Canis lupus familiaris: one gene and its partners. The protein of the gene in region 1 interacts with the protein of each later gene in a biochemical or structural test. Links are inferred from orthologs where the notes say so. Each region holds a gene or a part of one and is shown on either strand. Other genes may lie near its edges.

Region 1 (4,522 bases):
AATCCAGAGTAATGCTTTTTCCTATTAATAAAACATACATACCTGCCAATTATCTTAAAAAGAATGTCTCTAACCACTACCATTCAGTTTCAGGCTTACCATTATTAACCAGGCACTGTTTGAAGCACTTTAATAGTCTTAGTTAATAGGAAACAAACAGGGTTGCTGGAGGGGAGGTATCTGGGGGGGATGGGGTAACTGGGTGATAGGCATTAAGGAGGGTACGTGATGGAATGAGCACTGGGTGTTCTATGCAACTGATGAGTCATTAAACTCTACCTCTGAAACTAGTAATATACTATATATTAATTGATTTTAAACTTAAAATTTTTTTAAATTAAAGAATAGTTAATATAATCCTAATAATCCTATAAACTATTCTTGGTTTACAAGTGGGGTAAGTGAGGCAGAGAGAAAATAAGTCCATTTGCCCAAGGCTGTTAAGTGACAGAATCAGAATTTGTACACAGTCTGATTCAGGTTCTTCTGGTGGTTCCATTATAATTTTGATAAACTTTTATTAATTGATTTTTCTCCAGACAGTTACTGTCAACTCCATGCTATGAAAAAGAAGCTTGTCCTCATACCACTTCCTCTCCACCAAAATAATTTAACTTGCTTGTTCTCTTTGTAATTTTCCAGTATTCTAGGAAATGTGTGGTCAACACAGACCTGGGGTGTACTTATTAAGGACTTTATCATACCCTGATAGGTTAGATCACTAAAAGAAGTCTGTCATCACTCACTCGTTCTTTTGCCACATGTGACTCGAGCTCTGGTTCTGCCAGTGTTTCTTCTTTGGAATCAGGAGTTTCATCCAGTGGATCAGCCATGGAAGAAACAACAGGGATTTTCTTAACCTGGAAATAATCATAGGCCTTCTTTCCACAGACCAAGAGTGTGACATTCTTCCCACTGCTCTGGATTCTGTCTACCACCTTCTCATAGGGTTCATCCACCACCTTTGCTCCATTCACTTCAATGATGATATCTTCATCCTCCAACCCTGCCAATTCAGCAGGGCTGCCCTTCTGTACCTATGAAGAGAGGTTCTAAATTATCACTTCCTGACATGGATAAAGGAATTTAGTTTAGCTTCCCTTCAGAGGAGAGAGGAGTTTGAAAATGTACTCTTAACCATGTTATTTCTCCCTAAGGTACATAAGAAAGGTGCTCTAATGCTTTTCCACTTCTGAAAGATTCAACTTCCGTTCTCAAATGAATACCACGGTAGGAGGGGTCCGACATGACAGCACAAAAAGACTCTGAACTCACCTCCTCCCACAGACACCAAATCGACATCTACATAAAGAGCAATTCCTCCTGAAGAACTGAGGGCCAATTGAGCAGCTTTTACACAAAAAAGAATAGACCACAGAGAGAACAGCAGAAGAGATGGAGACACAGTAATGATGAAACCCCCACCCCTGATGCTACAAACTACAGTAGGGAGAGAGACCACTGAGGAGTCAGCACACAGTTTCCCCAGACCTGGGGCACAGAAAAATAGTAGCAGTTTAAAGAGCAACTAGAAAAAAAAATAAATAAATAAAAATTAATTAATTAATTATTTAATTAAAAAAAAAGAGCAACTAGACTAATCGAAGAGAACCAGTTGACTAACCCGAGAGCATCTGCCAAATGGTAGAGAAACTGCTGAAATTCTCAGGGGCACAGGGTATTAGCAAGTACCACTGTTAACATTCCATCTCCACCTTGATAATGCAAGATAAGCCCAGATGCTCTAGCCATCCTCAACAAGCCCTGGGACCCTAGCCCACACCAGCTCAATGCAGGCCCACTATGGCACACACCAGGACACCCTCAGCTACCTCACCAAAGCAATCATGGCATAAAGCACTCCAAATCAGCCCAGCCCATGCCTGCTTCAGCTATGCCACCAGAGCTGGCTCCACCCAAAGCTACTAGGCACCTGCAGTCTACACTGGGGACATTTCTACACAAGATCACTCCTTTAAGACAGGAAGATGTAGCTGTTTGAGACAAAGGAATATGTTTCAAATGAAAGAATAAGACAAAACAAGAATTGAACAAAATGGAGATAAGCAATCAACCCGAGGAAGTTCAGAGTAATGGTCATAAAGATGCTCACCAGACTTCAGAGAAGAGTAAATGAATTCAGTAAGAACTCAAAGAAATAGAAAATATATTCTTTATCTCTGATTCATTCTTTTTTATAATTAAAATTTAAAAATACATAAGAGGGAATTAACAGATGATACAGAACAAATCTAGTGATCCGGAAAGACCAGTAAGCACTCAAGCTGAACAACAAAAAGAAAAAAAATTTAATTGAGGTTAGGTTAAGGAATCTCTGGGACAGTAACATTCATGCCATAAGAATCCCAGAAGGAGAACAGAGAAAGGGACAGAAAGCTTTTTTTGAAGAAATAATAACTGAAAACTTCCCTAATCTGGGGAAGAGACAGACGTCCAGGAGAACCCCAAGCAAGCTGAACCCAAGAAGGAACACCAAGACCTATAACAATTTAAATGTCAAAGATTAAAGATAGAGAATCTTAAAAGCAGCAAGAGAAATGCAGCTAGCTACCTATGAGGGAAATCTCGTAAGGCTATCAGCTGATTTTTCAGTAGAAACTTTGAGATTATATATACATATAACATATAGACAAATATATGCCATTCCCCCTCTGGCCTGCAAAAGACCAAAAGAAAAAAACCTACGTGCAAGGATGTTCTACCCAGCAAACTCATTTTCAGAACTGAAGGAAAGAGACAGTTTCCCAGACAAAAGTTAAAGTCACAACCCCTAAACCAAACTTACAAGAAATGTTGAAGGGCCTTCTCCAAGTGGAAAAGGGCATAACTAGAAGAAAATTATGAAAGGAAAAAATTTCACCAATAAAAGAAAACACGTAAAGATAGTAGATCAATCACTTAAAATCTAGTGTGAAGGTTGAAACACAAAGGTAGTAAAACCAATTATATCAAATAAATAAATAAGAGATTTACAGAATAAAAAGATGCAAAATAAGACACATTAAATGTGGAGGGGAAGGAATAAAAATATAGTACTTTTAGAATATATTTGAATTCGGGATGCCTTGGTGTTTCAGTTGGTTAAGCATCTGACTTTTGATTTCAGCTCAGGTCATTTTCTCAGGATTGTGAGATCAATCCCTGCATTGGGTTCCATGCAGGGCATGGAGCCTGCTTAGGATTCTCTCTCTCCCTCTGTCCCTCCTCTCCCATACTCACTTGTGCTCTCTCTTAAAAAAAAAAAAAAAAAATATATATATATATATACACACACACACACACACACACACACACACACACATACATACATATGTTTGAATTTAAGTGACCATCAACTTAATATACACTGTTATATATTTAGGATGTTATATAGGAATGTTATATAGTAACCATAAATCAAAAACCTATAATAATACAAAAAATTAGAAAGGAATCCAAGTGTAACATTAAAAGAAAGTCATCAGTCATAAGGGAAGAGAGCAAAAGAAGAAAGAACGTCATCAGTCATGAGGGAAGAGAGCAAAAGAAGAAAGGAATAGAACTACAAAAATACCCAGGAAATAATTAACAAAATGTCATAGGTACATACCTATCAACTACTTTAAATGTAAATGGTCTAAATGCTCCAATCAAAAGACAGGGTAACTGAACAGATATAAAAGCAAGATCCATTTATATGCTGCTTATAAGAGACACTTCAGGCCTAAAGACCCAGGCTGAAAGTGACAGGCTAGAAAACATTTACCATGCAAATGGAAGCCAAAAATAAAAACAAAGTAGCAGTGCTTACATTAGATAAAATAGATTTTAAAACAAAGACACTGGGGCACCTGGGTGGCTAACTGGTTGAACTAGAAATCACAAAAAAAAGTCTAAAAAGAACACCAATAGGGAAGCCCAGGTGGCTCAGTGGTTTGGCGCCACCTTCAGCCCAGGATATGATCCTGGAGACCTGGGATCGAGTCCCACGTCGGGCTCCCTGTGTAGAGTCTGTTTCTCCCTCTGCTTGTGTCTCTGCCTCTCTCTTTCTCTCTGTCTCTCATGAATAAATAAATAAAAATAAAAATAAAATAAAATAAAAAATAAAAAGAACACCAATAACATGCTACTAAACAATGAACGTGTCAACCAAGAAATCAAGGAGGAAATAAAAAAATAAATGAAGACAAATGAAAACACAATTCAGTCTTTGGGATGGAGTAAAAGCAGTTCTAAGAATCTCATAGAGCTACTGCCCTACCTCAAGAATCAGGAAAAACCTCAATTAAACCTTGTGCCTAAAAGAACTAGAAAAAGAACAAAGCCTAAAGTTAGTAGGAGAAAGGAAATAAAGATCTGAGTGGAAATAGAAACTAAAAAAAAAAAAAAAATAGGAAAGATCAGTGAGGGATGCCTAGTTGGCTCAGTAGTTGGGGATCTACCTTTGGCATAGGTCGTAATCCTAGGGTCCTGGGATTGAGTCCCGTATCAGGCTCCCCACAGGAAGCCTGCATCTCCCTCT
Region 2 (4,953 bases), on another chromosome or scaffold:
CCAGGCTGACTCAGAGATTAGATCAGGAGGGAGCTGGCCTAGCCAATCTTGGCTCAGCATTGAGTAGGAACTCAACTAATGTTCTTAGGAATGGGTGGATAGACATATGACTGGCTGGCTAGGTGGGTGGGTGGGTTCATGAATGGATGGACGGATGGATAATGTTGGACAGGTTACTCACATAGTTGCCCAAGCTAAATTTTTTTATTATTATTTTTTATTTATTTATGATAGTCACACAGTGAGAGAGAGAGAGAGAGAGAGAGAGGCAGAGACACAGGCAGAGGGAGAAGCAGGCTCCAGGCACCGGGAGCCCGACGTCGATTCGATCCCGGGTCTCCAGGATCGCGCCCTGGGCCAAAGGCAGGCGCCAAACCGCTGCGCCACCCAGGGATCCCCCCAAGCTAAATTTTGAATGGAACCCACTGCTGCTGGATCTGTTCAATCTTCCTCTCTTAGAAGGGAAGCTCCCTTCTCATCATTCATGTGAATCTGGGCCCCAATTCAGGCTCCAGAGTCCCATGAAAGGGAAACAAGTTTCTCAAAGGCTCCCTAAGAGCCCTCTCTGGGTTTTAGAAGTTTTGCAACAGACCTCATGCCATCATCAGCTTCTTGATCCAGAAATCCAACTGTCATATAGTTCCTCTTTCTGCCACGCTCCCCATCGCCCATTCCATTGTCAAAGTATCCCTGGGATGCATCTTCTCTCCATCCCTCCTGTTCCACTTGATTCAGACCTCATTGTCTCTCCTCTAGACCATCTCATCAGCCTCTTAGCTGGTCTCTCTGCTTCCAGACTTGCCCCCTTTGACAGACAACCCCCTTTTCTCCTACTAAAGAGACCATTCTAAAATGCAGACCAGGCCTTTCCTTTTTTTTTTTTTTTAAGATTTTATTTATTTATTCATAAGAGACACACACACAGAGAGAGAGAGAGGCAGAGACAAAGGCAGAGGGAGAAGCAGGCTCCATGCACCGGGAGCCCGACGTGGGATTCGATCCCGGGTCTCCAGGATCGCGCCCTGGGCCAAAGGCAGGCGCTAAACCGCTGCGCCACCCAGGGATCCCAGACCAGGCCCTTCCTGATCTGGCCAGGGGCTCCACATTCTCTCAGACACATCCTGGATTTGTGGTTACACACTGGAGACCCTCCCTGACTCAACACTATGAAGCCTTCCCAGATTTCTCTATTACTCTTTCCATCACATGCTCCCTCTCCTCCAAATGCTCCTAAGACCCACAGACAGATCCACAGACATCCAGGTTTGTGGCAAGACAAGAGTCCTGTCAGACTAAGAATGAGGAGAAGGGGCTGGAGCCATGAAATCTTTTTGGGGACCCTGGGAATAAAGTGCCTAAGTAGCATAAGGGTCTTTGCCTGAAGGCAAATGTGTCTGTGCCCTAGCTGGCTTGGGTCTCTTTCAGGCTGAGTTTCTGCATGGGGAAAGGGAAAGCCTGACTACAGACTCCCCCAGCAGAGCTGACGATTAGTAATTAACTGGGAGGAATCTCAGGGGTGAGGTTAATTGGGGAACAGAGAGAGGGCAGCTAGGGTTTTGGGACTTTGCCCTTGACCCAAGGGTATAAAGAGGAGGGTCCCAGCTCTGCCTCAGGCCCCTGGGGCTTCCTTAAGTAGCTGAGCAGGAGCTGAAACACAGAATCCCAAGGTAAGCCTAGGGCTCCTCACTCCCAAACTCATCCCCAAGCCTTAGAAGGAAATAGCCTATCGGTCTTGCTCCCTCACCTCTGCCCTAACTGTGCTTCCCCTTCCTGCACCCATAACATCTCAGTCCCAGTCCAACCCCGCAAAGGAAAGAACTCATGCACTTCTCTTCCAGCTCCCTGCAATTCCGCCAAATAGCCAAGGGCCCTTGGGACAACATAGGGGTGTGGGGGTACAGGCTGCTGATATAGACTGGGTATGCTCACCCCAACCACCAAGAACTCCTGAGGCAGTTCAGGGGGCTCTAAAGCATGCCAAGGGTTTCTCAGATTGGGGCGGGCATGGGGAAACCTCCTTACCTAAACCGGTCCTGGTCTGAAAGCCATTCATGGGAGAAAGGACATTGGTGTTTGTTTATTGCTGTGAGGGAGAGAGGCAGGTGGGGGAAAGAAGTTCGTTTGCGAAGGGAACTCCCAAACCTGAGATCCAGGCCAGTGGACTCTCCCGAGTGCACATCCAGCAGGTCCCATGAGCAAGCAGGTGTCCACGGCTCTTCTCTGCTCTCAGGATGATCAGAACTCCTCCCACACACACAGCCTTGGCCCACATCTGCAAGCTCTGCTGACACACGTTCCCTGGCCCCCTCTGGCTGCAGGGCACTCACAGCTCCTTTCCCTCCAGAGGCCGCTGCACACATGCCCTTCTCCCTCGCCATCAGGCGACTCCTACTCATGTTCATCTCAGATGAACAGCCCAGTCATCTCTGCCCTCCACCCCCTCCATGGGGCACTCTGGTGGCACCTGTATCTGTCATTAGAACCCTTGTTCCCATTGCCACTTTCTATGTGAGGGGTTACTTCATTGGCATCTGTCTCCCTGCAAGACTTGGAGCTTCCTGAGAGCAGGGGTTGTCCTTGTATTGAGTCATCACTGTACCCTAGCATCTAGCTCAGTGCCTAGGATAGAGTTGATACTCAACAAATACTTGTTGAGCAAATGAATACATGAATCTGGGATGAGTACCTGAATGTGCATCTCTGGTACATGTGGGGGTGGAGGATGTGCGTTAGGGATTGCACACCATGGGTATTTGTGCATATGATTATGTGGGTGTGGATGTGGACAGGGGCGTGTGAGCATGGGTCGGTTCCCAGGACACAGCAGTTGTCATTCAGTGTTACTACAGCTCCACGGTGTGCACCCAGGATGATGTCCTATGGAGAAAGGCTGGGGGCCCCAGCTGTCTCCCCACACCCAGTCCGAGGCGGACACGTGATACGTGGGACAGCCTTTGCCTATGTGCCCAGCCCTCAGGGTGAGTGCTGCTCCCATCCTTGGACCCTTAGTGCCCACAGTTGCTACCATCCCTGGTGAGGTCTCCACCCCTCTCCCTGCCCAGCACGTCCTTGACCCTGCCTATCCCAGGGCTTCTGGGAACTCCTTATCAGCCTCCCTCCCCAGTCCTGCATAGGATCCCAGGGACCTCCGCCTACGCCTTCCCCAGCCTGGGCCCTGTGGCCCTTCCTGAGCACGGCTGCCCCTATGGAGAGGTTCTGGAGTGCCATGACCCCCTGCCTGCCAAGCTGGCCCTGGAGGAGGACCAAAAGCCAGGTGGGCCTGGGCAGGGGTGGACAGCAAGGATGTCAGCAATTGATGCCTTAGCTCCTGGCCCCTGTGCTCACAACTGGCCCATCTCCAGAGCTGGGCCTGGCCCAGAAGCTGTGCCAGGTTGGCATGACATTCCTCAAGGTGCCACTGATGCTCGCCTTTCTGTACCTCTTCGTCTGCTCCTTGGACGTGCTCAGCTCTGCCTTCCAACTGGCTGGAGGTAGGACCAGAGAAGGGGACCGGGACAGGGTTCCTGAAGGGCATCAGGCAATGCTGGCTAATACTCCTCAGGGAAGGTGGCTGGTGACATCTTCAAGGACAACGCCATCCTGTCCAACCCAGTAGCAGGGCTGGTGGTAGGGATCCTGGTGACGGTGCTGGTGCAGAGTTCCAGCACCTCCACGTCCATCATTGTCAGCATGGTCTCTTCTGGCTGTAAGTTGGCCCACCAGGGCTAGGGAAAGAGTGTGGGGGGCTGAGTGTGCTGGATGGGGGCTGAGGTGGTGCATCAGAGCTGGGGGCCAGGAAAAGAAGTGGGGCCAGGGAGCTAAGGGCAAGGGGCAGGACTCCAGCATCTCCCACTCCATCTTCCAAGGCATGGCCGGGAATCTTAGCCAGGAGAAGTGCCTCAAGATTTAGGAAGGGTGGCAAATGGGGAGTCCAGACCCAGGAAGGCTCAGCTCCCTATCACCACATAGTCCTTTCTTCCATCAGTCAGGGAAACAGAACCTACTGGAGATATACATATGATTTATTGCAAGGAATTGGTTTATACAATTGTGGGGCTGGCTAAGCAAATCTACAATCTGTAGCAGAGGTTGTTGGGAAGGGCAGGCTGAAACTCTGAGGTGAAGCCAAGGCCGGATAGCCTCAGTTTTGCTCTTAAGGCCTTTTATCTCACCAGATGAGGCCCACTCAGATATCAAGAATAATCCCCTTTACTTAAACTCAACTGGCTGTAGAGGTGAATCACACCTGCAGAATACCTTCACAGCAATATCTAGGCCAGTGGACTGAATGAGTGCTGCAGCCTAGCTAAGCTGATGCATGAAACTAACCATCACACTTTGGATGCATGCACACACAAGCACAGATCTGCATTTGCGTACAGGACACGTGCCTCATATACATATATGTGCACATGCAGTGTATCCATTCACATGCACGCATATGTATCATGTATACTCACATGTACCTGTGACATCAAGGCTGGGCAGCATCATGGCAGGACTGCCCAGTGGAGGCCAGGACGTGGGCAGCGAGCTGGAGGGAGATGTTGTGGGGGCAGGAGCTAGGAGGCCCTCACACAGTTATGTAAGAGGTCCTCTCTTCTGCTAGTGCTGGAGGTGAGCTCTGCTATCCCCATCATCATGGGCTCCAACATCGGCACCTCTGTCACCAATACCATTGTGGCATTGATGCAGGCGGGGGATCGGACTGACTTCAGGCGGTGAGGGGGTAGAGTGGCGAGGGGCCTGTGTTTGTCGGGGGAGGGTGGTTCCAGGTGTCAGGAGCCCCTGGTATAAGTGCATCCTGGCTCTGGCCTGTCCTGCAATGTGGCCTCCCCACCCAGGGCCTTTGCAGGGGCCACAGTGCATGATTGCTTTAACTGGCTGTCGGTTCTGGTCCTGCTGCCCCTGGAGGCTGCCACTGGGTACCTGCACCATGTTACTGGGCTGGTG
Region 3 (5,006 bases), on another chromosome or scaffold:
GAACCTTCAGGAGCCTCCGAAGCTGGGCTTCCCAACACTGCCTGCTTCACTCAGCTCACACTTCCCTTTTGTCCCTCCCCCAGGCACCGTTCTCTCGAAAGAACCTTCTGGACCAGATGGCTGGGCTGGCTACTGCCCTCCTCTCAGCCCCTGGGCCTCCCTGGGATGTCCACCAGCGATTAATTTTCATGGCACCCGAAAAATCTTTTGAGAAGCTGGCTAAGATGCAGACATCCAGGCTCACCCAGACATTTCCAGGCAGAGCACCTGGGAGTGGAGCCCAGCACCGCCGGAGGGCCACTGAGGACCGCGATGCAGCCTCTGAAATAGAAGGTGGGTGGGTGGCCAGGGCTACTCCTCATGGTCGGGCTTAACAGTGTAAAAACATCATCATCATCATCATCATCATCATCATCATCATCAGAACAATTACCCTTGGGCACCTGGGTGGCTCAGTGGTTGAGCGTCTGCCTTTGGGCTCAGGGTGTGATCTCGGGGTCCTGGGATGGAGTCCCACATCAGGCTCCCCCTGCAGGGAGCCTGCTTCTCCCTCTGCCTATGTCTCTGCCTCTCTCTGTGTCTCTCATGAATAAATAAAATCTTTAAAAGGGAAAAAAAAAAAAAACCTATTCCCCTTTATGAAGCGCCTTCTAAGTGCCAGGCACTTGCGGCGGGCTCCCTCAAATACCTGGAATCGCTCTTTCTACAACATCGCGGCACTTAGTTTAGGAAATGGGTGTGAACTGTCGGAGTTTTGGGGGAAATGGTTAAAAAGTGGCTTTCAGTATAGGCAGGTGATGTTGCTGGGGTCCAGCAGCTGAAAACACTAGCCAAGGTCTAGATAAAATCCTCAGTGGTGGCCAATATGAGGTCTGCCCCAGGGAGGAAGGCCACCTGGGCCCTCACTCTGTGTCATGACTGGAGACACATGACTGAAGGGCTCAGGAGCTCAGAAGGAACAAACAGTGCCAGCAGCTTCAACTACCCCCAAAGGGTTAAGGGCATGGCCTCAACCTCAAAAGAGAAGCTAAAGAGAACCTCCACCTTCTAACCCTAAAGCAGGTAGGAAAGGAACCCCCCTCAACTGAGTCTCCCCATGGCCTGACCCTAACCCCCCCACACCCCACGGCCCCCTACACACAACACAGCACCCCTAAGTCCAGGCGAGACCAAGTTCCCACAATCCCCTGCATGGTTTGCCGCCAGGAGACAAATGGAGAGTACCCACGGATGCTGGAAAACACTCTCTCGGAGCCAGAGAACACAAACGGAGCAGCAGGGGACCTGGGCAGCCTCACTCAAGAAGGCAGCAAACAAGAGAACCAGAGAGGGAGGGAATCAATCAGTCTTTCCGTGTGGTGACAGGGCGAGCCCCTCCAGCAGGAGGACGGGGACAGAAGTGGCCGGGCCTTAACTTCAGCCGGACTGGTGGATCCTGGCCTCAGGTGGATGGGACAGGGTCGGCTGGGACATGATAGAGGCTTGATGGCCCACAGGGAAGGACCTTTGGGTGCCCAGGGGACTCCTCATGGGCCTGGGCCTGCGTGGACAAGAACGAGTGAGCCACCTGCCCCGGGGAAATCATGCCACTGCCACAGTCCATACAGTAATGAAGTCAGATGCCTCCAGCTGGGGCTGACACCCCCAGAGTCCTCCCTCTCTCCCGGCTTTCGGCCAGGAGCCCCACGGGCGTCTCGGAGCAACTCTGTGAGGCGCCCCAGGGCAGGCTGCACCTTGTTCCTCTTCTGCCAGCAGCAAGGTCCTCCCAGGACCTCCCAGGAGGGCCCAGCCCTTGGCAAACCCACGCCAGCTGCGGAGGGTCCTGGGTCCGGGGACAGAAGGGCCCAAAAGTCACCAGGTCCCTGACTCTGCCCCCAGTGCACGCAGCAGCCTTGGGCAAAGTCATTTAATGCCTCTGGGCCTCAGTTTTCCTATCTGCGAAGTGGTAGCTAGAGTCAGCCGACCTCTAAGGTCCGCAGGCTGCTGGAAGATTTTACGATGATCATAAAACTAATAATAACTTTTATTACCTTACATTTACAGGGCTCCTTACAAAATTTCTAAGTGGTTTAACGTAAATTACCTTATAAAATCCTCCCTTCAACCCGGTGAGTGAGAGCTGATTATTCTCATCTCTTTGATCTCGGCTCTCTGGACTGCCTGACGCTGGGCGCAGTGGGGTCCCTTCACCTCCCCCCCTCGCTGGCGGGCGACCCCAGAGTTGGGGTGGGGCCCGGTCGGGATGCAGCCTCCGCATTCCGGCGCCCCCGGGTGGGTGCAGGCAGCTCCCGAGCCTGGAGCCTGGAACCGGGAGGCCGAGCCCCGCGAGTCCTGAAGCTCGGTCGGGCTTCGTCTCCCTCCGCCCCCAGCAGGCGCCGCTCGGACACCGCTGGCACCACCGTCTGGGTCTGCGAACCCCAAAGGCAAGGAAGCGGCGGTGCAACCGGCCTCCCCCGCTGGGACCTGCCCGAGGACTGGGGGCGGGGGGTGTCTGGGCATCCGCCCTCCGGAGGGGGCAGCGCGGACCCTCCCAGCGCCTCCCCATCCCTCCCCATCCCTCCCCCCTCCCGCCCCCAAGGCAGGGGCTGCTCCAGGCAGCCACAGGTCAGAGAATCAGGAGCGGCGGGCGGAGGGGGAGGTCCAGGCAGGATGCTGCGTGTGTCCGGGGGCGCAGGGGGGCCGCCCCACCCCGCGTGGGTCCGGGCTCGAGGCCCGCTCAGCCGAGCACCCCCGGCCCCGCGGCCTGGCCCGGAGACTGTCCCCCCGGGGCGGCCGGCGGATCCGACTCGGGCTCCCGCCCCACTCGGCCGGCCCCGGGCGCTCAGCGCCTGCCGGGCACGGGGCCTGGCCCTTCCCGCGGACCCGGGGACCCGGGCTGGGGAGCTCGGGCGCGGAGCCCCGCACCCACGCGGGCCCGGGGGGGGGCACCCACGGCGGGGGGGGCGCTCCACCCCTCCCCTCACCCCGGACGACGCTCCCAACACCGACCCCCACCTTCCCTCCCCGGGAAGCCACAAGTCTCAGAAAGGCGGCCCCACCCCCCCAAAAAAGGGAGCCCCCCAACTCGAGTGGGGGGGTTCCTGAAACTCCCTGGAGAGGCTCTGCGCAGGCCAAGCGCGGTGTCCAGGAGCCGCCGCCCCCCAAGCCAGCCCCCCAAGCCAGCCCCCCAAGCCAGCCCCACGTGGGGGTGGCCCTCCTACCTTGGGCTGCGGCCGCACGGATCCGGTGCAGGGCCAGCAGAGTCCAGATCAGCAGCCCCCACATGGTGCCCGGCCCTGCAGGGGTGTCCTCCGCGCTGTTTTATAATCCGGGGGTGCGGGGTGGGGGGTCCCGGGAGACTGTCCACGCCGCTCCGGCCCGGGTCGGTGGGTGGGCGGGAGGGGCAACGCCGGCGACCCCAAGCCTTCCTTCGGGTCCGCTGTCCCAGTCCGATCCGGCGGCGCGCGCCGAAGGCCCGGGGGCGAGCCAAGAGCAGGGGGCAAGCCCGCTCTCGGATTCGGGGCTCCTCCCTCCCCGCGGCGCCCCAACTCCCGACTTCTCCCGGGCGGGGCGGCCTCCGCGATGCGGCCGGGTGGCGGGCCGGGCTCCGGAATAAGCCGGCAACTTCAGGAAACTTCCTCCGTGGCCACGTTGCCCGCCCCCCGCGCCCTCCCCGCCCCCTGGCTGGGTCCTCCGCGCGGACGCAGTCACCGGCGCTGCAGGCGCGGGGCCCCCGGGGCCGGGCGGGAGGCGAGCGCGGCGGCGGCGGGCGCGGGCGCGGGCGCGGGGCTGCGTTCAGGGGCGCGGGGCGCGGGGGGCGCGGGGGGCGCGGGGGGCGCGGCTGGCATAGCGGGCCGAGCCTCGCTGGAGCCGAAGTTTTCTTCTCTGTAACTTTGCAGGCGGCATCCGGCGGGGCCGAGCCGCCCCTCTCGGCTCCCGCGCCCCGGCGCCCAATCGGGGAGGCTCGGTGCCCCCGGCGGCGCCGGCCCGGGCGCGCCCTCGGCTCCGCGCCCAGCGGACTAGCAAACTTTGCGGCTCCCGCGGCCCGGCGCGCAGCCCCGCGCGCCCATGTCCGCGCCGGCGGCGGGGAAGGCGGCCCGGGCGCCGAGCCTCCTGCCGGCCGAGGACGGAGCCGGGCGGCGCTGCCCTCCGCCGCGCCCTGGCCGGAGCTCCGGGCGAGGCGCGCGGAGAGCCCGGCGGGCAGCCCCGGCTCCGGGCGCGCGGCGCCTCCTGGACGCACGGGCCCCGCCGCCCCTGCGCCTGGGCCGCGCCGCCTCCGCAGCCTCCGCCGCCGCCGCCCCGCCGCCGCCGCCGCCGCCGCTCGCCGAGCCCGCCGCCCTCCGCTTCCCGGGCTCGGCGTCCGGAGAGCCGCTCCTGCCTGCGCCGAGCCGGAGCTGCGGGGGCCGCGTGAGCCGGGGACGAGCGCGGCGCGGGCGGAGGCGGAGACGCGGCGAGGGGGGCCGAGCGCTACCCCGTGGCCGCGACTGGAGACAGCGGGCGCGCGGGGAGGGGGCGGCGGCGGCCCCGAGCCAGGCCGGGAGCGAGCCCCGCCGGAGCCCCGCAGCCCGGCCGCCGCGCGGGACCCGCTGCGCCCCCGCCCCAGCTCGCGCCCGCCGCGCGGGGAGGGATGCGCCCCGCGCCCCTCCGCCCCTCCGCCCCTCCGCCCCTCGGCCCGGCCCCGCGCCCCTCCGCTCCGCGGGCCTGCTCTCATCCCTGCGTCTCCCGCAGCCCGGACCCCCACCACCCCTCCCGAGACACGGGGTGTGTGTGTGGGGGGGAGGCTGTGCTGGGCAGAGGGGGTCCCACTCCCCACCCCACCCCCTTCCCAGGTCAGGCTTTCAAGAATCTGGAAACGCTCAGGGCCCAGAGCAAGACAAAAGGAAGGCCTGGGACTTACAGATGGCTGAGAAAGTGAAGTTGGTGCCAAGGCGTATGCATTCTTTGTTCCTTCTTCTTCTTCTTTTTTTTTTTTTTTTTTTCTTTTCTTTTCTGTTCTTTGGAGCTCTGTTTGCTAAGGGTAGGAGAAC

What was found.
Region 2: the proteins of PDZK1 (region 1) and SLC34A1 form a complex in vitro, tested with the Homo sapiens proteins (2 studies listed by BioGRID and IntAct, with this or other methods). The link is inferred for Canis lupus familiaris from reciprocal best matches to the Homo sapiens genes PDZK1 and SLC34A1.
Region 3: the proteins of PDZK1 (region 1) and SDK2 interact in a test that uses a peptide from one of them, tested with the Homo sapiens proteins (2 studies listed by IntAct, with this or other methods). The link is inferred for Canis lupus familiaris from reciprocal best matches to the Homo sapiens genes PDZK1 and SDK2.

Annotation. Positions count from the first base shown.
Region 1 is NC_049238.1:59,155,353-59,159,874, forward strand, and holds part of PDZK1 (Na(+)/H(+) exchange regulatory cofactor NHE-RF3), read right to left. Parts: intron 1,038-4,522; coding exon 747-1,037; intron 1-746. UniProt on the Homo sapiens protein: A scaffold protein that connects plasma membrane proteins and regulatory components, regulating their surface expression in epithelial cells apical domains.
Region 2 is NC_049225.1:36,857,241-36,862,193, reverse strand, and holds the start of SLC34A1 (sodium-dependent phosphate transport protein 2A), read left to right. Parts: upstream 1-1,574; 5' UTR 1,575-1,667; intron 1,668-2,838; exon of another isoform or gene 2,839-2,849; 5' UTR 2,850-2,869; coding exon 2,870-2,978; intron 2,979-3,111; coding exon of another isoform or gene 3,112-3,124; coding exon 3,125-3,274; intron 3,275-3,362; coding exon 3,363-3,491; intron 3,492-3,562; coding exon 3,563-3,706; intron 3,707-4,609; coding exon 4,610-4,721; intron 4,722-4,844; coding exon 4,845-4,953.
Region 3 is NC_049230.1:7,487,777-7,492,782, reverse strand, and holds the start of SDK2 (protein sidekick-2), read right to left. Parts: upstream 3,380-5,006; 5' UTR 3,265-3,379; coding exon 3,201-3,264; intron 1-3,200.